2 linked regions of the Oreochromis niloticus genome follow. Each later gene encodes a partner of the first gene's protein in a complex. Links are inferred from orthologs where the notes say so. Each region holds a gene or a part of one and is shown on either strand. Other genes may lie near its edges.

What was found.
Region 2: the proteins of stx17 (region 1) and vamp8 are in contact, whole or in part, in a crystal structure (PDB 7BV6), measured with the Homo sapiens proteins. The link is inferred for Oreochromis niloticus from reciprocal best matches to the Homo sapiens genes STX17 and VAMP8. Residues at the interface, in NP_060389.2 of Homo sapiens: Ser171, Trp172, Thr174, Leu175, Asp178, Leu179, Glu181, Leu182, Leu185, Val186, Phe189, Leu192, Val193, Gln196, Glu198, Lys199, Ile200, Ser202, Ile203, His206, Val207, Ser209, Ala210, Asn213, Val214, Glu216, Gly217, Thr218, Asn220, Leu221; in NP_003752.2 of Homo sapiens: Gly9, Val13, Leu16, Gln17, Val20, Glu21, Val23, Lys24, Met27, Thr28, Asn30, Val31, Ile34, Leu35, Arg37, Gly38, Leu41, Glu42, Leu44, Arg45, Thr48, Glu49, Leu51, Glu52, Ser55, Glu56, Phe58, Lys59, Ser62, Gln63.

The regions. Positions count from the first base shown.
Region 1 is NC_031976.2:19,884,956-19,897,815, reverse strand, and holds the start of stx17 (syntaxin-17), read right to left. Parts: upstream 5,885-12,860; 5' UTR 5,705-5,884; intron 5,469-5,704; 5' UTR 5,345-5,468; intron 5,261-5,344; 5' UTR 5,185-5,260; intron 3,616-5,184; 5' UTR 3,530-3,615; coding exon 3,407-3,529; intron 3,308-3,406; coding exon 3,242-3,307; intron 1-3,241. Other genes in the region: nr4a3 (nuclear receptor subfamily 4 group A member 3), read right to left, coding at 11,008-11,270. UniProt on the Homo sapiens protein: SNAREs, soluble N-ethylmaleimide-sensitive factor-attachment protein receptors, are essential proteins for fusion of cellular membranes.
Region 2 is NC_031977.2:6,103,212-6,115,393, reverse strand, and holds the start of vamp8 (vesicle-associated membrane protein 8), read right to left. Parts: upstream 4,617-12,182; 5' UTR 4,427-4,616; coding exon 4,412-4,426; intron 1,856-4,411; coding exon 1,688-1,855; intron 1-1,687. Other genes in the region: ncaph (condensin complex subunit 2), read right to left, coding at 5,753-5,812, 8,735-8,810, 9,069-9,145, 9,319-9,429, 9,663-9,806, 10,769-10,876, 11,256-11,375. UniProt on the Homo sapiens protein: SNAREs, soluble N-ethylmaleimide-sensitive factor-attachment protein receptors, are essential proteins for fusion of cellular membranes.

The sequences.
Region 1 (12,860 bases):
TGTCCTCCCCTTACACCGAACCAGTGGCAACAGATGGCCGCCCCTGCCTGAGACTTCCCACTGTTGCCACAGCACTTGCTCATAGAGAACTAGCATATGACCCCCTAAATTATTGTAGGGTCTTTACCTTACAATATAAAGCGCCTTGAAGCAACTGTTGTTGTGAGTTGGCGTTATATAATTAAAAGTGAATTGAATTCAATGATTTCTGTGAAGAAACATGCTTCTGATGGGATTTTTAAACTTTTTTTTCCTTTGGTGCTTTGAGCAGGTGCCTTACAGTTCACTATATTCAACTCACAGCTAAAACAATCATATATTCCATCACTGAAACCAATTCTGCCTAAAAACATATAAACCTACAATAGGAAACAAAATGATTTTTACTTTACACATAACATCAGTTGAATTCAGGAGAAAACATAAGTTCTTGTTCATTTAGCCCATTGCTAAATGGGCTAAATGAACAAGAACTTCTTTGGCAATACAACACACATATTCAGTGTGTTGTACTGCCAAAATGATGTGAACTAGAGTACTATGCAAAGGTTTTGAGCCTTCATATTTTACTTCCAAGCAGTCAGACTGTCCTGTTATTTTTTTAAAGCCTTGTTCTGCCGGAGGTTTCTTCCTGTTAAAAGGGACGTTTTCCTTCCCACTGTCACCAAAGTGCTTGCTCATAGGGACGTCATATGATTGTTGGGTTTTTCACTTTATGTATTATTGTAGGGTCTACCTTGCAATATAAAGCACCTTGAGGCGACTGTTGTTGTGATTTGGCAATGTATAACTAAAACTGAATTGAATGTTTGTTTCTTAAACCACTTAGCACTCACCAACGAATAATTCAAGCATAACAAGGCCCCAAACTCAAGAGATTAACTAGTGTTGTGTCTACACATCAATTAAATTAACTAATATGTCTGTTAATTAGATAGAAAAACAAACATCACATCACTATCAGTCATGGACTGGCCTCCCCAGAACCCGCACCTCAACCTTATTGAAGCAGTGTGGGATCACCTTAACAGAGAATGGAAGAAAAGGCAGCCAACACCCAAAGAAGAGCTTTGAATGAGAAGAAATCTGACTAAGAGTTCAGGCTATGTTGAAGAACAAAGGTTGTCATACCAAGTATTAAAGTTCAAGCTTGTTAGAACTGAAAAAACTCTGATATGTCTCATATTCTGTATTTCTATGTATGCTTTCATGTATTTCAATACATTGTTGCACCCACATTGTTTTTCTAGCAGAATATAAAAGAGGAGTGGTGCAAGCTTTAGATATGAGGCTGAGGAACACAAGAAGTGCCCTGAGGGTGGCAGGAGGATTATATCGCAGCAATCATCCCTCCAGGCAGCAGCATGACCTGGGTTCATGGGGTTAGGGGGGGGGGTCAGAGATCTGCCAATAACACATTCTGCTAATTACATGACATGAATAAAAATACATGCATATCCTTGTTCACAGAAGCAAAAACACACTAAGGTCATGTGCCTTTTAGCCTGCAAATTAACTGACTGTATGTAGTTCAAACACAAACACCACAAATAAAACCAGCACAGACTCCGCTCCCCTGTGTTAAAGTGTTTGCAGTAGCTCGTGTGGCAAAAGTGAGGCTACTGAGGTCGGTCTGCAATCTTCTCTTGGGAGTTAGCTTGGTGCTAGGCTAGCTGGAGAGTATGTTATGGTAATGGGAGGGAAACGGGCTGTTTTTCCAGACACATAAAATAAATCAACATAAACATGCAGTGCTAATGATTAAAATAGGAACTCTGAATGACATAAACCAACCTATTTTCCCATCTTTGGACATTAAGCACACAGACAAACATCTAAAGCAGGGCAGACAAACTCCTACTCTGGATTTACACCATGAAGACATGGGAAAGCACTCTGTGTGCACCCCTGAGAGTTCGCCGGGTAATGGTGAGAGGATAGATGTGTGCCTGTTTGGAGTTATTTCACCTTCAGAGACATGGTGGCTTCCAGGCAACAACATCCCCTGAGGCATTTCACACTCACTATGTGAACAAGTACACATGCACGCAGACACAACACAAGAAAGATGGATTCTAGGTTTAGCAGCAGCTCTTTTCTTGTCCTGATTTTTAAAGTAAATTTATATAAATAACGCTGTTTTCTAAAAGTACGTGTGTGTATATGTACACATGCTGTTAATTCCAGCTGAACAGACTACTGGGATTTCCTTGCTATTGATTTGCTCAACAGAGGCATCATCAACATCATGCAGGGTAGCTGGTGACATAGAGAAGGAGACTATAGCTTCAGTCTCAAAAGTGGTTTCTGCTGTTGGATACTTCACTGTCAAAACATCTCCTTCACAACTGTAAAGCAATAAATAAATAAAAAAAATACTGGCGGTGGCCAGCGGTACCCTTCAGCCTCCTAGTAGATACACCGAAGGTATGAATTTCAAAACCCCACGTCCCCTCGTTCTCAAGGTATTGCATTCACAAGATTTTCAGAAAACTTGACCTCTCACCTCCAACCTTAAGATCAAGGTCACCGAGATTCATAGTAGATACACCAATAATATCAATTTGAAAGTCCTACATTGGCTTGTTCTCGAGTTATCACATTCACAAACTTGGCTGTCTGTGTTGCCTGCCTGTCTGCCCAGCAGAGTTATAACAATACTCCATCAACCCTAAGTACAAACTATCTGCTGAGGAAGAGCAAAAGGTGCGTTTGAAAGTAGCTGGACCTTGTGTTGAGTGTTTGTCTCTGCGAAGCTGCTGTTTTTCTGTTGCTCAGTGACTCTTATTCCACACAAATCAGTATTCATTTTATTATACTGGCATGCTTCAAAAGGCATTTGTTTGAGTCAGAGATCATTTCAAACAGGCTTGGCAACGATGACTGACACATGCCTCCCGCACTCAGACGTCACAACAAACGCTGCCTGTTTAAACACTGGATAAAGACACCAGTTGCTGCCCTTTTACGCTCTTTACTTGGATCTTCAAACTGGAACAACATGACAGGCACAAATCAGAAACATCAACATCCGATATTTAAGAGGTCATGGGGTGCACATTTTGGCGACAAAAAATATAATACGCAGAGTCATGCTTGTTCAGGAATTTCAAGAGGCAGTGAGTCACGTCATCCTCTAAACAATCGTCACATTCACTAAACAAACATACACACACACACACACACACACACAAACACGCCTCTGCCTTTTCTATTTACTTCACAGGTTATCACTTCATACCTGAACAGTTCTGCTGGCGTTAATATGCTCCTGATGAAGGCGATCCCATTGCTGGGTATGCTGGTACTGTGAAAGTAGAAACTAGCAGTTATTTATCTGAAGGCTGGAAGTAAGGGTTTGAAAGTGAGGTTGTGATCCTGTGCGCAGCCAGATTTGAGCCGTCACCTTCAGTATGTTGTTATGGTGTTTCTGCAGTCTCTCCAGGTCTGTGGGCAGAGCCACTTTAATGAACTTGTGGATCGGTGCCTCCAGGCGCCTCAGTGTCAGCTTGTTGCCTTCCTCTGCCATGTGTCCCGCTGACTGCCCACAGCCAACACTACTGCGTAACTTTGACAAGGCACCTGCTCAGCTTTATCTCGCTGCGCCCACAGATACTGTAAATACCAGCAGAGTATTTTAATATACGAAATTAATAAACTCCGTCTGCATTTAAAACTGTCACCTCAAAAGGCCAGCGTCCGGTGGCATAACCAGACAGTTTGCACAAGGGTGGCCGTGATCAGACCATTACTTACACTGAGGTGTGACAAAAAAAATCACATTTAACCATCTTATTGTTTTTTGTTTTTTTTAAACAGGCCAAACTGTTGTACACCAAATAGTTAAGTTTAAGTCATTAACATTTGTTTATGGAAACAGACATGTACAAGCCATTCCCCTCTGTGTATCAAAGTATTCTAGATTCAAATGTGAGGCCATCTGTCTGACAGATAAAGCCTGGCCCAAATTGGTTCATGCAGACAATGATCCCAAGCACAGCAGCAAATCCACAACAGAACAGCTAAAAATGAAAAGAATCAAGTTGGTGCAAAAGCTCAAAGTTACGACCTCAAACTCATTGAAATAATGTGGTGGAATCTTGGATCTACAAGCTACTGAATCAAAGGGTGTACTTAGTTTTCCACAGGACTGCATAATATGTGTTTACACTGCCAAAATGTTTTTAAGTACAGTAAGTACTATCATTAAAAAAATGTTAGAAACAAAGCAAACAAAAAACAGTGACAGTTACTAGATAAAACTTCAGTTTTTCGTGTATGTTAATGTTTAAACTATCATTTGAAGAGATGTACTTGGGCTTTGGTGAGGATAACTAGCCTCACTGAACTTTTTTAATACTCTCTGAAGATGAAATTGCGAAAACAGATCTAGTATTAAAAAATACAATTAATTAATCCATGCCTTGCAGCTTTGTATTAACACTGTACTGTAGATGTTCATAATAAAACTGATATGTGTATCATTCAAGCATATACAAGGCACTTAAATCAAGTGATAAACCAATGATATGCCTTCAAAAAACAGAAAACTTAACAAATAACCAATTTTAAATTATACATTTTAAAATTGGTTAAACATTTTTACTGGCAGCCTGTCACAAAAATACACAATTTGTTCTCGTTTTAGTCGAATCTATGAAAAAAGCCAAAGTTCACACAGTTTGACAGGCATAAAATAGTGTGTTTGTACCAACATGGTGATTCCCAAACAGCTATTAGGTAAGAACTTGGAATATTTCGGCATGGTGAGCAGTGTGTCCTGATAAAGAAATAAAGGAAATCGGGTCCTTTAGTTGAGTCATCAACTGTGCACTGAAGCCTCATTAGAAATGGTCTCAGTGGAAGGATGGCTGTCAAGAACCCTTCTTACAAAGCAGAAATGGGGTGAAAAGGCTGAGGTGTGCACAAAAACCAAATTGATAAAAAAAAAATAAAATAAAATAGTGGAATAGGTGTTATGGACTCATGAATACAAATTTCAAGGGAGACAATCATGAGTGTCTACATTCATCTGTAAAACACAATGGAGGCTCTGTCATGGTTTGGGGCTTGGGATATCCTCAAAAAAAAAAAAAAAAAAAAAAAATCAGAAAGCCATAGGTAATTCATTTTTCAGCAATGACATTAATCCCAAACACACTGCCAGATTCTCTAAAAGCATACCTGAATAGAAAAAGCACAATGGAACCGTCAGTCCTGGATTGTTCTCCCCAGAGGCCCAGATACAAGTGGCTAAAAACTTTTGCAAAGTAACTCTTATTAGCAGTTCTTACCAATAAAAACAAACAAAATCAACAACAACAAAAACACCAGGTTATTTTACTTGTCGTTGTTTTGTTTGTTCCAGCGTTAATGGCAATTAACTTCGGATTGACGTAAACAGTTTGATGACGCCTTCTACTGTTCCCTTCAGTCCATATTTCGAGGACACGTCGCACGAACTGTCCCTGAACAGAAAGTGAAATCACTCAGTTTGGCTAATGACAGCAGACTGGCCCAGCAGGTAACGCTAAATTAACCCATTAGTGTCACTAGCTAACTGCTGAGGACGTTAAGAGCTTTGTGAACGGCAGAAAACTTCCCAGACGGAGTTACTAGCTAATTCAGTAACTTCACCCGGATACAGAGAGCCATCAGCCCGCTGCTGAAAACATAAACTAACAGGGCGCACATCGACACTTACCAGTAAAAACACAACTCGACAAAGTCATTTACACTCGCTAATGACTACTGCGAGCCTCCATGTTATAAAAAAAACTTAAACGTTCAGACAACAACTCGCTGCCGCTTCGGACAGCGGGGTTGTTTATAAACAGCTCCCAGTACGTCCGCGAATAGTTTCCGACCACAATCAGCAGCCCCAAAACATAATGTTCCTCATCACTACCCCGTGATGCCTGTCCTGACAGCAAATCAGTGACATGTTTCTAAAATAATACTCCCGCTGACGGTAGTGTTTATTTCCCCCATCGGTCACATTTTATTGCTTCAGGAAAATGACTGTTTATCATCTCTTCTTCATGTAAAGAAAAAAATTAAAAGATTTGCGCACCCAATTTCTTACATTAAAAATTTAGGATGCAGTAGCCACTAGTTCTACCCTGCCCCCCCCAAAAAAGCCTTATTTATCTGAATAGTGTTATTAGATTTAAAACAATATATTTTATGTTCTTTGTTAAAGATAAACGATGACATAACAGTGAAACTGACCAGTTCAATTAACACAGATATGAACTTTTTGTGGCCACTTAACATTTCTAAGTTGGTTGGGGTTTTGTTCGGGGTGTTTGGACTTCACAGCTTAGTCATTTCAAAGCTGCTGGCCTCAGCCCTGATATGTGGTCATACTGTTTTTTAAAATACACTGTGAAAGTGAAAATGTATGACATTTCAAAAATGTGTCACGGTCCTTTCTTTTTTTTCTTTTTTCTTTCTTTTCTTCTTTTTTTTTTTTTTGCCAGCCAGACATTTAAAATAAAATGAACACGTGCTACAAATAAATAATACAAGTTAGAAATGCTAGATTTTTCACACTTGCGCATCTTCCACACAGCTTTTTACCGTGCGTGAAACAGCATCAATCCTGTGGAAGGAAACATTAGATGTGATATTTTTTTTGTCTGTGTTGCGTTTGGAAGAAAGACTGGGGTTCCCCCTCCTCTACTGTGAGATCAGCCAGCGTGAGTGGGTCTATTGCATGTTTCCACTTCTGTTCTTCAGCACCTTTTACCTTTGACATTTAGGCCAACCCCCCACACACTCTTCCCTCAGCGGATGCTCCAATGCGAAGGGCCACAGCACACAGTCCCCAGCTACAGGGGATTTCCCCTGGTGCTGTACACATGTTGTTAATGTGTGTGTGTGTGTGTGTGTGTGTGCGTGTCTGTGCTCATATGTGTTTGCTTGTGTTTATGCAAGTGTGTCTGTCCACTTTCAGGGGACTCCCAGACTTGCAGACTGAGGGGGGAGGAAGGAATAGAGCTGATAGCCTAAATAGCAAATCATCATAAAAAATGTTTCTGTCTCTGTGTTTGTGGAGACAGAGAGAGAGAGAGAGAGAGGGAGGGAGGGAGGAGGTGTCTGGGCGTGTGTAAGTAGTACCCTTGATGTGGGCACATCAATCTGTTTACAAAGAAGAAGTCCCTTTATGTAAATCATTCAGGTTTAAGGTGAAGACTTGCTGTGAGGTTATGGTTTCGTCAGGGAAGCCAAACTCATTTAAATCAAGTGGGCTGGACCAGTGAAACTGACCTTTCTGTCAGTTATAATATAAGAAAATGTTATATAAGAAAATTACATGTAATTTCATCAGCAGTTCACAGTTTTTCTACACGATAAAGAAATGCTGCTGTAGGAAATGAAAGAAATGTGTCAGCATGACTCTTTGGGCTTAAACTATAAGAAATAAATGTGCGAAATTACAGGAAATGCTCTGTTAGCTTGTTGCTCAGACTGTGATTTAGGTATAAAACAAAGCTTCTGTTAATTCACAGAATTTTTCCCTTTTTTTAACCATTGTAAAACATAATTTCTCCTTCACATTTTCCAAAGCTGTCCAGTGGGCCAGTTTAAAGTCTTTGATGGGCCAATTCTGGGCCCCGGCCTTATGTTTGACACCACCGTTTTAAGTGAATAGTCAGAATCAGTGATCTGGCGTGAATGAAACACCACTGTGTGTGTTTAAACGTGTCGTTTGGGGTCCCAGGAGGACTCAGGTGCCATTTGTTTCAGTCTAATCCGGGAAGTCTGTCAGCAGGAGAGGAAGCAAGCAGGGAGCTCCATTCACGTCTTACCTCATGAATCTTTACTGTTTTTTGTTGTGGCAGGTGTGATTAGCACATCCTGATGCCTCGGTGGACATGGGCCTGTTTTTTTTTTTTTTTCATGGTAGACTTTGTGACAAGTCATGGTAGGAAAACACAGGTGTTTCTAATAACATTAAGTATGGCAGGTGGTCCAATAAGCCAGGACACTGCTTCCAAAAAAAGCAGAACCATGAACCCGAAGCCGCTACATAAACATAGTCATGATTTTAATTTCCCTGTCCTCTTGATGTGTACATGAAAACACGCGTACTGTTGTTTATACATGGCTTTATGAGAAGAACTTATGAATTGAGAACCAGAGGAATACATGCTTTGAATCTGTGAGTGTGTGTGTGGATGTGTGTGTGTCTATATGTTCTAATGGGACCTCTAATTAAGACTCTGGGTATCTGCTATCTGTCAGCACTGATCGATCGGCCTGGAGAGTGACAGCTCAGCATGTGAGTGTGTCTGTGTGTGTGTGCGTAGATTTTGCTCTTCATGCTCTCTGCTTCGTGTCATGTTATTTTACATGTAACGCAGTTATAGGAGGAATATTAACACTTCGATTTTCTTAAACATGTACACAATCATACCACTTTAAGAAAAAAAGTGTAAATGTTTTTTTCCTGCATACTCATTAAAAAACACATCACAGTCCCCACCCACCAACCTCCGAACCAAAGGAGGATGAAGTGTTGGACATATATGTTGTTATGTGCCACATGCACTCAGAAACACACAGAATTATAAGTAATATACTGATAATGTTTATGGGCATTTCCAGGTTAGTATGTGTCACTGAAAGCCATTGTGCTTCATCTTTCTAAAATTATTATCTTTTTCATAAAGGGGAAAGTTTAAACATCACAAAACAGAAGATGTGGTGGTGCGTGCTCACTCTTAACTTTACTTTTGTGCACTTTCTTTTGCTTCTACCCACTTTTTTTTTCTTCCCCACACACATGCACAGATAGAGCTGTTCACAATTGTCTAACAGTTGCTATCAATCACCTGGCTGTTAGAGACAGAGAGTGTGTGTGTGTGTGTGTTAGCAGTAACGCTGTTGTGCAGGACGGCAAGTGAGTGATGGCGGTAACAGTATAGACGGCATGTGCTGTGAAATGTCACCGTGCCGATCGATGGTGTTTAACGAGGCTGGAGGCTGATCTGGACCTCATGCTAACATGAAGCTCTTCTCCCCGCCCTCTTCCTCCCCCTCCTCACTTTCCTAATCCCTCTCTACTCTCTGTGAGAGCCCGAGGGTCCCCCAGGAGAGAGACAAGGCCTTTTACCTGTCAAGAGGCTTTTGTGTCTGACAAGTGACACACACACAATCATGCACACATCCACATACTCACTTAAAAAAAAAAAAAACCATGTAAAAATGTGGCTGAAATTTGATGTTTTGTTACCTTATATAGAAAACAATATTTTGTTTGTGCTTTTTCTTTCTTTTTTTGTCAATGAACTTTAAAGAATCAAAACACAGGACACAGCCGGGGTCAGAATAATCAGAACTAGTTTATGATTTCAAAGTGCTGAACAGAAAATCCAGTGAACCAAAGAGAAAGAAAAAAAAAACAACATATCGAACAGGAAACTCTAACCAAAGAAGGACATTGAAAAAACAGCAACTTTTTTTCTCTTTTTTTTGTTTCTCTTCAAAAAACAATGCACAACTCGTACCACAATATTTGAAAAAGCTAAAAACACTTCAAAATATTAGTTTTGTATATATATATATATATATATATTTATATATATTTATATCTATAGAATTTGATTTTTTTTTTTATTTTAAAACCGCCATCGTTGTGAGGGTGTGAGTGGGTGGTGGAGGCCCTGGGGAGATTCCCATAGAGCTGCAGTCTGAGACACAAACACAGGTCGAGCTGTTTTGACAGGCTATGCCAGCTCTCGACAGCTTATAACACACCATGCATATGATCCTGGCTTCTCTAAGCGCACACACAAAGACGGTAGGCGACCATGTCCTCCACACTCACACAGCCTCCGCGATATATAAAACGATAAAGAAAAAGAGCATGAACGTGGAATGTTTCACCCCCGGACGTACAGCTATCTGTCGAGCACCCTCCTCTCCCCGTTCTCCAGGTGAGCAGGTAGGGTGTGTGTCTGTGCTTCTAGCCCTTCTCAGGGTTTAAGTGCTTCCAAAGCCAATTTCTGTCCATGTTCATTCTTCCACACTCCTACTCGACCTATGATTTCAAAACGACTTAATAAAACAAACAAACAAAAAAACAAAACAAAAAACCACATAGTAGAGAAAGTTCAAGTCTGGGTGACTCAGTCATCGATCGTTAGTGCACAGTATCTCCTCTGCTGTCTAAAGCAAGATGGGAGACTGTCTTTCTTTTTAGCTACTGACAGTACAGGACAAGTTTTTGTATTAAAATAATTTAGAGTTTGAAATTAGATTCCCCCTCCTTCTCCATCCCTTCCTCTTGTGGCGCGATAGCACTTAAGGAATTGCACTTGTAATTAAGAGCCCGCCTCAACAGCCACTTCCATGTGTTTATGAAACACCTGCGTCCTGCGTCGTAACATTTCGGCCCACCTACGCCTACGCCGCTCCACCTCTGATATGTCGGCACATTTCGGAACGATCACCTCCCCCTCCCCACACTCTCTCTTTTACACCGCCACCTCTCCCAGCCCTCCTTTCTAAACGGAAGTCCTCAGACAGACCGAGCCGGGCCGAAACACAGATAAACAGTACTCATAAACTTCGGTTCTTTCTTTGTTTTTTTTTTGTTTTTTTTTGCCGAATAAGCTGCAACCCAGATGGAGCGAGGACAGTCAAAAAAAGAAAGAAAAAAAAGTCACTTTTCTCCTGTCCATCTCGGCCTCATCATCCTCCCCCCCCTCCCAGCGTGGGGCGAAACAGGAGGACCAAATAAAAAGTGGTAAAGCGTTTGAGTAATTGTCTTTTATACAGGTGAAAAGCATTTAGCTGGTAGTCCGTTTGAGTGAAAGGCGCTCTCGTTTGGTTGTCCCCGTCGAGTCAAAAATATTTGATTGGCTCTCCGTGCGCTGCATCAGTCTCGAGAGAGAGTGCGTCTTCTCTCTCTTCTGGGTGTGTTTGCATGCTCCTTTGGGGAAAGGCCTTGACGGGACGTGATGTGGGTTCGTTTTGCTGCGTGGTCAGCCCGAGTTGTCAGTAGGGCAGAGTGTCCAGGAACCTGTCAATCAGCGGCGGAGGCGCTACCAGATCCTCCAGCTTCAGGTAGAAGATTCGCTGAAGGCCTTGGGTCCTCTGGGAACGAAGCTCTTCCCTTATACCCAAAATACGACTCAGAGAAGGGGCGGCCTTGGACGAGGAGGATGAAGGGCTGCAGCCCAGGTGGTCTCTGAGACAGCAGATCACTTTATTCTGCAACTCCTCGACCCGCTTTGAGTCCTTCAGACCGGGGACTTGCTCTGTAGATTCGCGAGAAAGAAAGACGGAAAAAGAGATGTTAGGAGAATAATCATTAAATGGCCAAAATAAAGTCAGTGAGGAAAAAAATACACACACATATACATACATCAGAGCTCATTCAGCTGAAAGAGCATTAGCTACATCTTCTTTTATATTGAATTCCACCTCATTAGCCCATATGGCTCATGTTCTTAACAGGCCTTAACCTGGCTCATTCACTACAGATCAATACTCAGTCTAATCTAATAAGCCCCCTTCTCACTGGTGTACCTCCACATGCACGGCTATATGAGCACATTTTTTATTTTCTTATTTTAAACATTTGCACAGAAAAAAAAGTCAGTGCAATTTAAGAAATTAAGACAAAGAGCGGAACAGAAGTGCTCAACAGTTAGCTGATTATTTGGCCCTGTGAGCAGCAAAATGAAATTAGAAATACACACACTGCTGCCCATAGCAACTCCAGTGGCACTTGTACAAGGCTTAATGTGACACTAACTCATTCTGCAGAGAACAGGGTGTCCAGCCCCCCAAACACAAACACACACACATACAGGCGCACTACGAGCTGTGCTGCAGGGGAGGCTGCCACTGAGACCCGTCTCACTTTGAGGTATCCATTATCCGAAGCTTATTTACTGTTTGTTTATGTGACTCTTTTGTTTGTTGTGTTTGCCGCTGCAGAGTCACTCCGGCCCTCCTTTCAGCGCGGCTTTCAGACCTCTCGCCACACAATTCCGCTTCCCTGTCTTTCTTCCCGCTCTCCCTACCCCTTCTTTCTCTATGAGCGTGAGCTCCCGGGGAGAGATCGATGACTGCCTTTCTGCACAGGCCACTCTGAAGCGGTCGATCGCCTGGTGGCTCTGGTGGCTCTGTCGTGGCTTTGCGCTGTGTGCTTTGCCGAGGTGGCAGAGCGCCACTGAGAACACCGCAGACGCCATTCCAGAGCCGCGCTCCACGGTGGGCTGGTCGATCAGGCACAGAGTTAAGTGCTCCCCCAGAGGGTGAGGATGGGGTTGGAGGGCTCAGACAGAAAGAGGTTGAGGAAGAGGAGGCGGCGGGGGCAGGGTGAAATAAGGAAGCTAAGAGCAGGGGGAGGGGGATTTTTTTATTTAATTTAATTCTTTTTTTTTTTTTTTAGTTCCTGCGCATTACTTTACAGCATCCAACACCGTAAAACAGTTTTAAAAAGATGAATATAAACACTTAACTGCAGACTAGTCTCTCACCTGATGCATTTTACTTAAAAAACTAAATCTGCCTCGCCTGCAGCGTGTGTGCTCTCAGAGCAGGCTGCGATTCTCCTTTCATTTTTCACACATGAACACTGATTAGAGGGCCAGGTGTGTGGCAGGTGCAGCAGGTGCTTCTGGGTATCAGGTTCTTGTTTCGGGGCAGAGATGTGTGGGAACACGCATGCACGTGTGTGTCTTTAAGCGTGTCTGACGTTAGAGGATGTGTCCACCTGATCACTGTCACACTGAATCACCAGCAGGCAAAACTCTGGACAACAGGAAGATGCTGTGTGTGTGTGTGTGTGTGTGTGTGTGTGTGTGTGAGCGTTTTATCTGTATATTCATGTTCAGCTT
Region 2 (12,182 bases), on another chromosome or scaffold:
TTATTGTCTAAAGGCGAAGAAAGATGCCCAACGGAACAGGCTGCTATTACCAAAGTGCCCAATTTAAAATGGGTTCTTTTTAACATTTTGTCTCTTATCTGTAGAAACAACACTGATTCATGGAATAGATGCCATGAGAGCGAATGTTCTCTGTGGGGGTCAGACACATAACATGGAAATCAAAGTCACCATAAACTTAGTGACTGAAATGGCAGCTTGTTGCAGTTAGATGTTTGCCTCGCAGTGTGTGGTAATATTGTAAAAAGGTGTACTCTAACACAAACTGTGATGCTTTTCCAAAATCTCACCACATCCTGTATTTTAGTACATTAAGTAGTGACAGAAAAGTAAAGTAAAATGAATGTGTAAAATAGCACCTGGAAACTCAAATTAGTGCTTGTGTTATTAGTTTATTTTTATTTTACCCAAAATACCACTGAGATCAAAATTAAAAGATCTCTGTGTCTTTAAAAAGAAACCTGGCCTCTGTCATGTCACCTAAATCTAAGTCAGAAACTCTGCTGAATTATAGGTAGTCCTAAAAAAGATGGAGGTACCTTCCTTGTCGAAAAATGAAGCAAATATGGAAGTTCCTAAACCTACAGTCTCTCTGAAGGCCACTTGAATATGACAGCTGTAGTAGCAAAAAGACTTCTGGTCCTTCAGAAGCCTAAAGAAAAACATTGTTCTGACCTGATTTCTAGAAAGTGTTTGCTAGTGAGTTTATGGTCCTAGTTTTTCTTTTTAGGTCATAATGAATAAAAACTATTTACTAAATCTTAATTATACCAAGGAAGATTATATGTGGTATTTTCTGCTCACTCATTATCTAACAACTTACCAATAACAAATCCTTATCCAGTGAGCACGCAGTTTTACTTTTAGCTCCACCTCTCCTCGTCACATCCATTTTTTCAAAAATGGCTTCAAAACAGGATTTCACAAACCAATGAGGGATGTATGACGGAGCATTAGGACAACATTAAAAACAATTGTGTTCAATTTGAGATTACAGTCAAAATAGTATTTTGAGAAAAAGTCAAAATGTGAAGATTAAAGTCGTCTACATTGTATAGAAGAGTTTTTAAAATTGTATTTCAGAATCTGTTTTAGTTACAAGACATGTGTCCCTTATACTGCTCATTAGATGTCACAGTAACCATGTCCATCTTTTACACTGTCTATGGCTGTAACATTAAGCCTGATTAGGAAATGAATGCTATTACTGTGTTTAAGATCTTGTTTTTCCATGAATGGAAATGGAATGTAAGTGTGGTCAAATACAACTGTTTAAGCTCTAAGAAGTCTTTTCCTGCTGCAACCACAACCTCAAGAGTACAAACGGATAACAAAACAGATAAAAGAGTAATTAGCTTTACTGCTAGGGGACGCTATAGTTGACCTCATTTGGTTTTTATTTTACATTTTACACAGTTGACTTTGTAAAAATCCTTAAAGTTGAATAAGGGCATGAAAAAGGCCACACTTCACCTGTTCTGTTCTGTAATGTGGAGAACCTGACACCGCCCGAAGTGACTTGTTATTCTGGTTTAACTGAACAGTATCACTAAGGTCACAGCTTACCAAGCTTTATTTACAAATGTGCATGTATGGGAGTATTGTCCACATCTCAGCCTGCTTTTACACACAGCCAAGTGAAAGTTAAAACTCTCACGATCACACTGACCCCTGCTTGCAGATCCTCTGTCTTGCCCATTAAGTCATCCAGCCTTTCTCCTCGTGCCAGGATCCGGTCCACATTCTGAGTCATGATGCTTTTCACGCCATCCACCTGATCCTTTAAAGCCTGCACCTTGTCCTTAGGCTCTGGCATTTCTTCTATTCCTCCGCGCTCCTGGTATAGAGAAGGGTCATTAAAGAACAGTTAGCTGCAATCCCTTTGCAGAAACCATTTTCTATTTTTAACAATGTAAAAAAAAAACAAAAAAAAAAAAACAAACCCAACAACCCTCCCCAAAAATACAGGGCCTCCTTGGATAACAGAAAACCACCAAAGCATGATGTTTAAAGACATCATCCCCCCCCGACACACACACACGCACACAAAATAGCGTTGGCATGAACTGCCTACAAGCAGAGCAATTCAAAAAATAAAAAGTATCAGCTGGGTGAACAGTGAAGTCTGCTCATCAATCAAGCATATGCTGCATGTAGCACTACTTTGTTCTCTTGCTTCAAGTCATAGACATTAAATGGGTGCAATTTTGAGATAGAAACTATGATATATCCTGTGATACTGATGCTTAGTTTGTTAAAGAAAAAAAAATGTTAACCTGGTTTAGCGTCAGTTTTAACAAAACCAAAATGTGTCCTTCGGCCCTGAAAACTTCAGGTAGCTATCTCCTGTACTTGTGCTTTGAGACCTCAAAAATGTCAGAGTGACTGTCTGAATATCAAAGGTTCTACTTCTTTTGCAAACCTGTCTCAGGAAAATCTCTAAAGACTCACAGAAGTGCACAGCTAAATTGCAAAAATATCCCTTTATAAGTCTTTGATGAGGCCCGGCCTCTTCATGTTTTATTGGACATGACTATCTCCACATGATTGAGTCTGCAAGTGACAAAGCAGCATATAATGTAAATATGTCCTTTTGACCCGTTTGTAACCACAGTATTTATTTACAAGCCCTTGAGCTGCACCTTGTGGCTGTCAACTGACCACTTTTATACATCTGTGAAGGTCTGCTAAGAGCCTGTGTGCATTCAAGAGAAACGTCAGCTGTTACCTCACATAGCTGTACATGTGATTTCAACGCAGAAATGCTGTGTGCAGTTGGGGGTGTGTCAGTAAACATGCAGGGACCACTCCGTCCCATGAGTCAGCAACAGACTGTAACAAAACTGTCTCTAGGAAACAGGGCAGGTTCTCCTGCGTCATGTGTCTCTCGCCTCTCCTGTTACCCCGCCCTCCCTTCTTTTCCTCCTTTTCCATTCATCCTTTTTCAGAAGAATTTTCTGAAAAAAAACCCAAACTCTGGAGTCATCTTTAATTTTCTTTTTCTTGTTATATCTTCATTACATGTGTTTAATCTCTCTCATTCCTCTGTACCAGTGCTAGGACGTCAGTCACTCAGGCCCACCGAATGGCTGATGCCTATCAAGTATCAATAAACAGAAAGTAAAGTGTCCAAGGCAGCTGCAGAAGGCGGCTACATTAAGAATCCAATTCAAATATTTGATATGTTGTAAGCTGAGTGACTTCAGTCTCTCTTTATAAATTGACAGATAAGGGGTCTTGTAAATATGTGATTGGTGCATGAGGAAAATGATCAAGGAAGTACACCTTAAAATGTTCCAACAGATATTTCCTGTTAAAATGTTTGACTGCAGCTGTAAATCCAAAACATTTATTCAAACACTGAATCCTTACTGCTCACACTGATATAGGCAAATTGGAAACTGCCCTAATCTGTGAGGACACACATTGAGATTTGAATACTACAGGAAGTAAGATTTTCCTGCAGGCTAGAAGGAAACGTTTTTATTTTAGGTCGACAATGTTGAGTCATTACAGATATTTAAAGAACTGCCTGGACGTTCTTAACTGTTCAGCAGAATAAACAGCACTGACTGCCAACAGATTATAATTAGTTCATTATGTGGCCTTTTGTGTTATTAGTTAACAAAAAAAGAAACAAAAAAAGTCTTCATAGCAGCCATTTCTACATTAAAGTAGGCAAAGAAATATGTTGCAAGGCACGCGCGCGCGCGCGCACACACACATATACATATGCCTCTTTTGTGCCAACATTAAATAATGTTAAAACATGACAGCAGTAAACCTAATTTAGCACGTAATAAACGCCACTTCAGCTGCTCTACCTGTAAAAGTTTATTTTTCCCCTTTACTAATAAAATAATTGTAATAATAATAATAATAATAATTTTAAAAAGTGTTGCCCAGTGGATAATATCTATTTTGTAAGGTAAGTTAGCATTAAACTGCTACTTGCTCAAGCAGAGCTTGGCTACAGGCGAATGGCTCCACCAACGACCTGTGAAACATTCTTCAAATACGTGAAAAACAACCGTTTATCAGTTAGTAACATGTATTATAAATAGATAGTAGTAAATGGAAACATTTACTTGAAGTATGCGGCTTTATTTTATGGAAAACAAACGCATCTCAACTTTACAAAAATCATTTCCAACACGTACTGAGTACTGTGTGTAATTAGGCCATTTTTTTTAAGCTGCTTTACTTACTGCTTTACTCCCTCAAAAATGAAAAAGTTAGTGCGCCGACTTAAGTTATTTTCAGTCGAGGTAGGTTTCAAGTTAAGTACAAGTTGATTTATGTGGAAGAACACCTGTTTGAGACTGTCGCTGAACAAACTGGTGACGGCGGGGAGGCTTTCTGAACAACATAAACAAAGGTCATTATCACCTACCGGATCAGTGTCCATCTTGCTGGAAAAAATGTCCTCTATCCGCAAACCGAAGGATCTACTTTCTTTAAAAGTTGACGATTTGATTTAAAACCTTTTAAAACCAGTTTAAAGTCTCGAAGCAAATACGTTTCTCCCTGTTTTACTTCCTGGTTGTTTTTTTCCTCCCTTAATTGCCTTCTTCCAACTGTTAAGTGAACGACAACTCCGTTTCCGCCCTTTGGTTTCCAAAATAAAGCAACCTAACGTTTTAGGCTACAGTGGTTGGGTAAACATTAAAGAAAAAAAGTTTATATAAACAAATATGTCTCCTTTAATTTTTACACAGTAATATTCGTCATTATATTTTATATACTCGTATTCAGATATTGATTTTCACTACCTGTAAAAGTACTGTAATGATTTTGAAGCGAATCAAACTTTCATTGTAGACCTACGTGCTTTTATTTTGCAGGTGCATACGTTTACTTCCTTTATTGTCTCCAAAAACACCTGTAGGCGGCAGTCCCTCTTCTATTGTTAAAGAAGGCGTCATACCAAGATGTACCCATGATATGCTGGCGGTGAAACTTTCCGAGAACTTTGTGTTCAGGATGGCTGACAAACTTGCTTTCTAACTTAGCATAACTGTAAAGTAACCCAATGCATTTTTGATAGTAAACGAGGATGTACATATTTGTATACGGGGTTTTTTTTTTAAGTTTCAAGGGGGACAACAGTGAAACTGGAGAGCAGCACTCTTAAAGATTAGCAGCAGTGGCCTCAGCTCAGTTACTCCTCCCTCTCCTGGTGTCACAAATTTCAGCCAGCTAGCAGCTTGAGCCCTGACAAACCGGTTTCTTTGTCTGGTGAAACTGGTGACGAAGATTGAATATTGGTCATTGCATGCCCTTATGTCATGACTGCTGCAAGCTGCTTTGAATCAGAAGCAGCTAAAAATAATCAAAGGCATTACGTCAATTTGGGAAAACTGTTTGAAAGTCATTGTTTAAGTGTGCTGAAATACTGCCTGTTCATTCTCAAAGAACAAAAAATGTGGGGTAGCATGTTTTGGAATTAATTTCTCCATCAGATTTTAGAAAAAAAGCTTTTATTTCTGTTCACAATGTACATTTTTTGTGTGCTGTTGAGTAGTTAAATTAGCTACACACAGGATATGCATCAATTGCACAAACTGAAAGGAGAAACAAATGTTATACTATATTATAAAGAATAAAAGCATGTAGAGACAGGAGATAGAAACAGGACAGTGTCAAAAAGAAAAAATTATACAAAGTAAAGAGCTGAAAAAGAAGAGAATTGAAGAAAAGAGTAGCAGTAAGCCTCATATGATTCATAATTCCCTCAGTGGCCTTGTTTAATGATGATATCTGACATGTCATCAACCTTCACCAGCTCCAAATTCTGTAAAAAAAACAAAACAAAAACAAACATTAGGACTGACTATTTGTAAGCATGACACAGCAGTACTACATTTTAATGTACTCTGTGGACTTGCTGAACCAGATATGTAACTTTAAGGAACATCTGCCAGCCAATCAGGAATGAGAATGTTTGGACATCCTATTTCAGGAAATAAAGAATGAATGAATGAACTGAAAAATAAATTGCCCAATTACACACCCAAACTTCCCGTTTCCTTCCTTAGTTAAATTTCCTGGTGCTAAAGCAAAATAAATAAAATTTTTTAAAAGGCCATAGTGGCAGAGTCTGTTTCAGGCTTTATTCATGCTGTTGATTGTATGAAACCACATCAATGTCTGATCTCACCCAAAAAAATAAAAAAATATTGCATACCCCCAAAAGATGCAAAAATACTACTTACAAATGTTTAAATTATCAATATTTTTTAAAAATTCAGATCAAAAACACAATTTATTTTTTTTTTGTCTGTCCCGTTTGGTTCTTTTGCCATCAGAATTATTGTCTGAAGGTGAAGAAAGATACCCAACGGATTTACTTTACCAAATGGACCATCCCAGCCTTGCTGTGATGGTCTATTTGATTCACCTTTTATTGTTTATTTTATTTTTTTTTTATTTTCACTTGCTAGATACGGGACAGACTTGAATGAGGAAAAGAAAAGGGAGAAAGAAAGAGGGGGAAAAATGAGCATATGAGCAAATGAGCAATGAGCACATATCAGCGGGCGGAGGGAGGTTTGGAGTCTTCTCACACCCCTGTTCTCTGCGGCCTGCTGGAGTGGGGGGGGCTAGGAGGAGGAGTTGGCTATCCGACTGGGGTCTGGAATGTGGGGCCTCCCTGCTGCTGCGGAGTCGGGGTGGTCTGCTTCCCCCCACCGCAGGGAAAAGGGTAACACCACCTGGGTTTGGGTACAGTTTCCCCCTCCAGGAGCAAGGGTACCTAGACCCGGGGCTTAGAGTACGCTTGGGGAGTGTGATTGTGTGTACAGTGTCTCTCTATGTCTGTCTCCACGTTGGTTGAGTGTTGAGTAATTGCATATGAGAGCATGAGGGTGGGAATGGATGTTTGTATCTGTGTGTGCCTGTATGTCTGTGTCTATATGTCAGGTTGGGTATCAGACGCCACCTCTCTGGGGACATCTCAGGCCCTCCAAGGTATGGAGGCCTATCTCCCCCCACCACTCCCCCTGCCAGTGGCAGACGCCCTCAGACATCGGTGCGTTGGTGGTTCTTTGTGTCCGGGGATGGGCGTCCAGGTACGCACCGGCTCACTCCTGGTGGCTGCTTATCGGGGCCTGGAGCCTGGGGAGCTCACGGGCACGTCACTGCAACCCCCCCCTGGCTTCTGCTCCGCGGCTGCTGAGTGACCCCTCATCTGGGACTCTCCTCAGCTCTTTCTGGGATAGTGGCGCGGCTGCCCCTCTGTTGGTCTTCCTTGGTCTCTTGTGTTCTGGGGGCCTCTGGATGTCTGGAGTTTTGATCTCCTCCATACCTGCTTCATGCCCTGGAGGACGGGGCTGTGGCCCCCCACACCCTCTAGCAGATCATTACATGAAGGAACCTTTTAAAAACAAGCGCGTTCATGCTCACAGGTGTACACACGGGGGCTCACACACACTAACTACACCCTTTTTGGCTCCTACCTCAAAGCACACTGTGCGCTGTCGATCTTACGTGCTGCACAATAATGTTTAATATTTAGTATTTACTGTTATATTCCCATATATCATCGTGATGTTGTTTATTCTGTTGCTCTCGTTTTCTTCTGCTTGTTTTCTTTTTTCTTTCTCAACAGGTGATCCAGGTGATCGATATATGTATTTTTTGTCTGCTTATTTTGTTGGTTTTTGTTTTTTGCCCTTTATCCCCATCCCTCTTCTCCGCTGTTTTTCCCCCCTCAAAAACATAATTTAAATTTTAATGATCAAATATCAAAAGCTGTCATTTAGGATGTAATTTTATTTATTTTTATTAGCCTTATCAGCATTTGTGATAGCTGTCTAATGGCTTACTCTTCTACACTGTGCCAAATAAAAAGACGTAATGAATTCAGTGGAAGCAAAACACATCTTTAAGTTGTCAAGAGTAGGCTGCACTGGAATATAATGCAATAAATGTCGTTATCAGATATTTAAATCTATTAGTCCTCGTGTTTTCCACAACTTCTCCAGGAGAAGAGCAGAATGTACGATGCACAAATGTTTGATAAAGCAAAGGAAAACCTCAAGTTGGCACTGCAAATCAACATGAGGCTGCTCTGACTGAACATCTTCATCCTACGATGAAACATTTCTAACCTCCAGGAGGATAACACCGCTATCCACAGGGCACAAAAAATGCTTTAAATAGTATGAAGGTTAAAACTGCAGTTCCCCTAACCACCACTTGAGGTTGACTCAAAAGAAGGAGTCAATCTCCATAGACTCCCATGTTAAAATGCCTAACTGTAAAGCATTATAAAGCCTGGTACAAAAAATGTGTCTGGTATCTGCAGATGTAAGGTTTTACATCTCATCATCTAGATAATAGAGTTGGAGCATAGAGGTGTAGTCTGCTGTAGTCATTACATAACATTTACACTGTGTGTGCACTGTTGGTGTGTTTTACTGGATTATCAGACTAATATTATAGCTTACTATGTGGTACAAATCATCTCAGTAGTTTGTGCTTCAATAAACCAACAAGGTGCAGAGTCCAAAATCAATGGGTGACATCACATTAGCTTTAACCATCTTTGCATTTAAAGCCAATCTGGCTGCTATGGGAAGTGCAGTTTGATATTGGTTTAATTTTTCATCCCTTGATGCTGCAGCTCATTTTACACCAACATGAGGAGAGTACATTCATCATCATAATAATAAATGAAATCAAATAAACAAAACATACAGCAAACAACACTCACCTTTTCATTGGCAAGATGAAGTAAAGCAACAAACGCCAGTGCCACTGACAGGTTTTGAGCCATTGTGTTTGGTAATCTGAATATGTGTGAGAGAGAGACAGAGAGAGCGAGTGAGACAGAGAATTTTATATCACAGCAATGATGACTTTCATGATTCTAATGGAATTAGTATTTCAGTGACACCGTGATGTAATCGTGTATAGCTTCACACTAGCTTGTCAGAGAAACTTCTACATCTCAAAGCATAATTTTATATCTAATATTCTTTTGGTGAGGTCTGATACTCCTCATTAGAGCTGTGCCATGGCCGACATGACAAGAGGTCTGCTTGTACCTTTGAAGCAACGTCTTTGTGGTTTGACTGAACACTTTCTCTCCACACACTTCAGGTTTCTCCACAGTCTCCACCCCCTATAGGGAACACCAAGGAACAAGTAATAAAACACAGACTCAAACAGAAACGCAGTGAAAAAGGGCCGCCTGGCAGGCAACTGTGCCCACCGCATGCGAGGCATGACCAACCTTAAATTTGTCACTGTATGCACCACAGAAAAAAAGAAGCTAATACGTGGTGTGTAATTTACCTCTGTGGGTTTTTCTGGGCTGTCAGTCAGAAGAGTCCACATGCTGTTCTTGAGTCTCTTCATGTCCATTTTCTTTGCTGTCTTGGCGTAGTTGATTTCAATCTTGTTGACCTACAAAAACAATCAATAAAAGTAGAACTATAGAATTTTACAAACAAAAATTCTGCTTATAATATATCCATTATTAATGATTATTTGTCATAAGTCATACAGCTGTTTCAGTTCTATCTTCTATTTTTCAGTGGGGTATGATAAAAAAAATATTACTGCAGAAGCTTTTGAGCAGAGATGGTACTAAAGGGACGAGCCACTTAAAGCACAACTAAACTAGTTGCATTGCTCACCCTGTGTGGCTCAGGTACCAGATCCTCCTCCCCATAGGTGGACACCCCCTCGAGATCTTGTGAGGGCGGAGGCATGCTGTCACTCGAAGGCTGTGTGTCATCTGAACCAGCAAACCCTTCAACATCATCATCACTGTCACCTCCCTGAAACAGAAGATGAATAAAGATTTGACATGTGGTTCCTAATCAGTTGTTGATCTGCTGTGACGTGGATTTGTTAATTCTTTCATTCCTCAGCAGGTTTAGATGTTGCTTTTAGCTTCTTCCACAAGATTTGATGCAGAAAGGGTGTAGTTTCCATGTAGCGTTAGTCACAGGTGTGTGATACATAAAAGAAAAGGTTTTTAACAGCCGCGCTGATATAAAAATGTCATATAGAGATATAATTGCTATAGCACTGCCATGTATTTTTGTTTCCTAGCGCAGTCAGTGAGACAAGCCTAAGGATTTGTGAGACTGACAGCCCTGTGACAGCCTCTGATCACGATTTAGTACATAAATAAGGAACTATATCAAACTCGAGCACAGCACAGTACCTGCAAAATATGCAACAAAAACACACAATCAAGTACAACCAAGCTGTTCAGGAGATACTAGCAGCTGGTGACGTGTGACTCAAAAGTAGACAAGAATAAATGACTGCACTCAATACGACAGGAACAGCAAAACAGTGGATGGAAATCACTGATGTGGTTAAATGGTGAAAAAGTGGGGTTATTCTACTCAAAAATATCCATTTATTGGTCTTCCAACAAATTGATGTATTACATAGGGAGAGTAGGTGCCAGTTTGCTGCCATCTTGAACACAGGGGCCGAGATAGACATTGTTGTTCTGCATAATCACATTTAATGTATATGGTTAGACACAGGCCACATCTGTAGTATGTCAAATGCCGCAGAAAAGATGAGTCGTAGGCATTTGTAACTGATCAGAACAAAAGGAAAAATATGAATTTTTATTTCTTTACTAATACTAACAATATATACTAGTGATTGTTGTATGTGCGGAGCTACCTGTTGAAGTTATCCCTTGTGATAAATGAACACCTGAAATGAGCTTTCCTAGAATCAAATCAAAAGTGAAGCTAAAAAGAGTTTTTCAGACCTGTAGACCTGGACAGAAGTTGGCTGTGTCATTGGCGTTGTTGTAGTCATAATCTCCAATGCCTTCTCCGAGCTCTGCAGAAAGCCTCTTCTGTCCTTCTGGACTTAACTAGAGTAAACAAGACCAGATTGATCAATATTAATACGTCCAAAACAACTTGCACTCAATTACGGAAATATTGAGTAAATTAGATACGGACTGTAAAACTGCCCAATTTTATGAAAACAAAAACAAAACAAACAGTTGATATGAGATTCAAACACATCCGAGATCATTTTTGAGATATCGCATTTTACATCAGAGAGGTAAATAGGAAGTCCATGTGATACTGCAAGCCATATTTAAAAAAACTAAAAAGAAAATAGATGTAAATATTAAATCATGTCTGCAGAGTTAGAAGTATCTAAAAAAGGTTAATAATTTTAATTAAATTACAAAATACTAACATAAAGTATGGCCTGAAATGGCAAAAAGAAATAAGTCTTACTGTGCTGGAGGGTTTGAGGCTGAGCTGGGAGAGCGTCTCTGGAGGAAACTGGAAATCTGCTGGTAGAGTTGTTTTTTTATTTCTGGCACTTAGAGCAGACTTGGTGTTAGTGGTGGCAGCCTGTGAAAGGAAAGGAAGATAAAGTTTGGTTGGTGAGTTTTCCAAAAATTTGTAATCCAAAACTTCAAAACTACAAATCCTTTTAGAGATTCAACCGAATTTAATCATTATAGTTAAATCACAAGAGTTATGTTTCAATGCAGAAGCACACAAGAAAAGACTCAGATCAGCAAGTTTCCTGATGCATACTTGACAAACAAATGAGTTTAGGTTCAGTTCACAAGGATAACACCCTTACACAGTTATATATAGTGTCATGGTAATTTATTAGCACTGATTCTGTCTTCATTCTGAACAAACTGATTATTTCATGGTCAAAAAGCTTCTCTCTTGCTTCAAATTTTTAAACTGTAGGTGGCTATAAATTTTTTAAAGCATTTACATGTTGGTCAACAAAAATTTAAAACCAGATGTCCAGAGCAGATACATAAAAGACTTCCACACATGGTAATTGGGATGGAGGCTGCATCAGAAATAATTCTCAAAGTGCTGAATACTGTGTTGCCATGGCCACTACTCCAAAAAGTACTACGTTATAGCCACAGTGCCTCTGTTTGTAGCACGCTGAGAATGATCACCTCGGACTCTGTCACAGCACTGGACTCTGCTACAGAACACGCTAAGCTTTACCTCAAAACAACCTGTCACCATTACTAATATTTGTACATGAGACTGATGTTATTATAATAACCATGGCAGCAGGCTGGCTCTGTTCACAATGACGTGAAACACTGAAATGATTGCAGAGCTGGTCATCTATGACTCAAAAAGTAGTCACTGTAGTTTAACAGGTGAATGTATTTGACA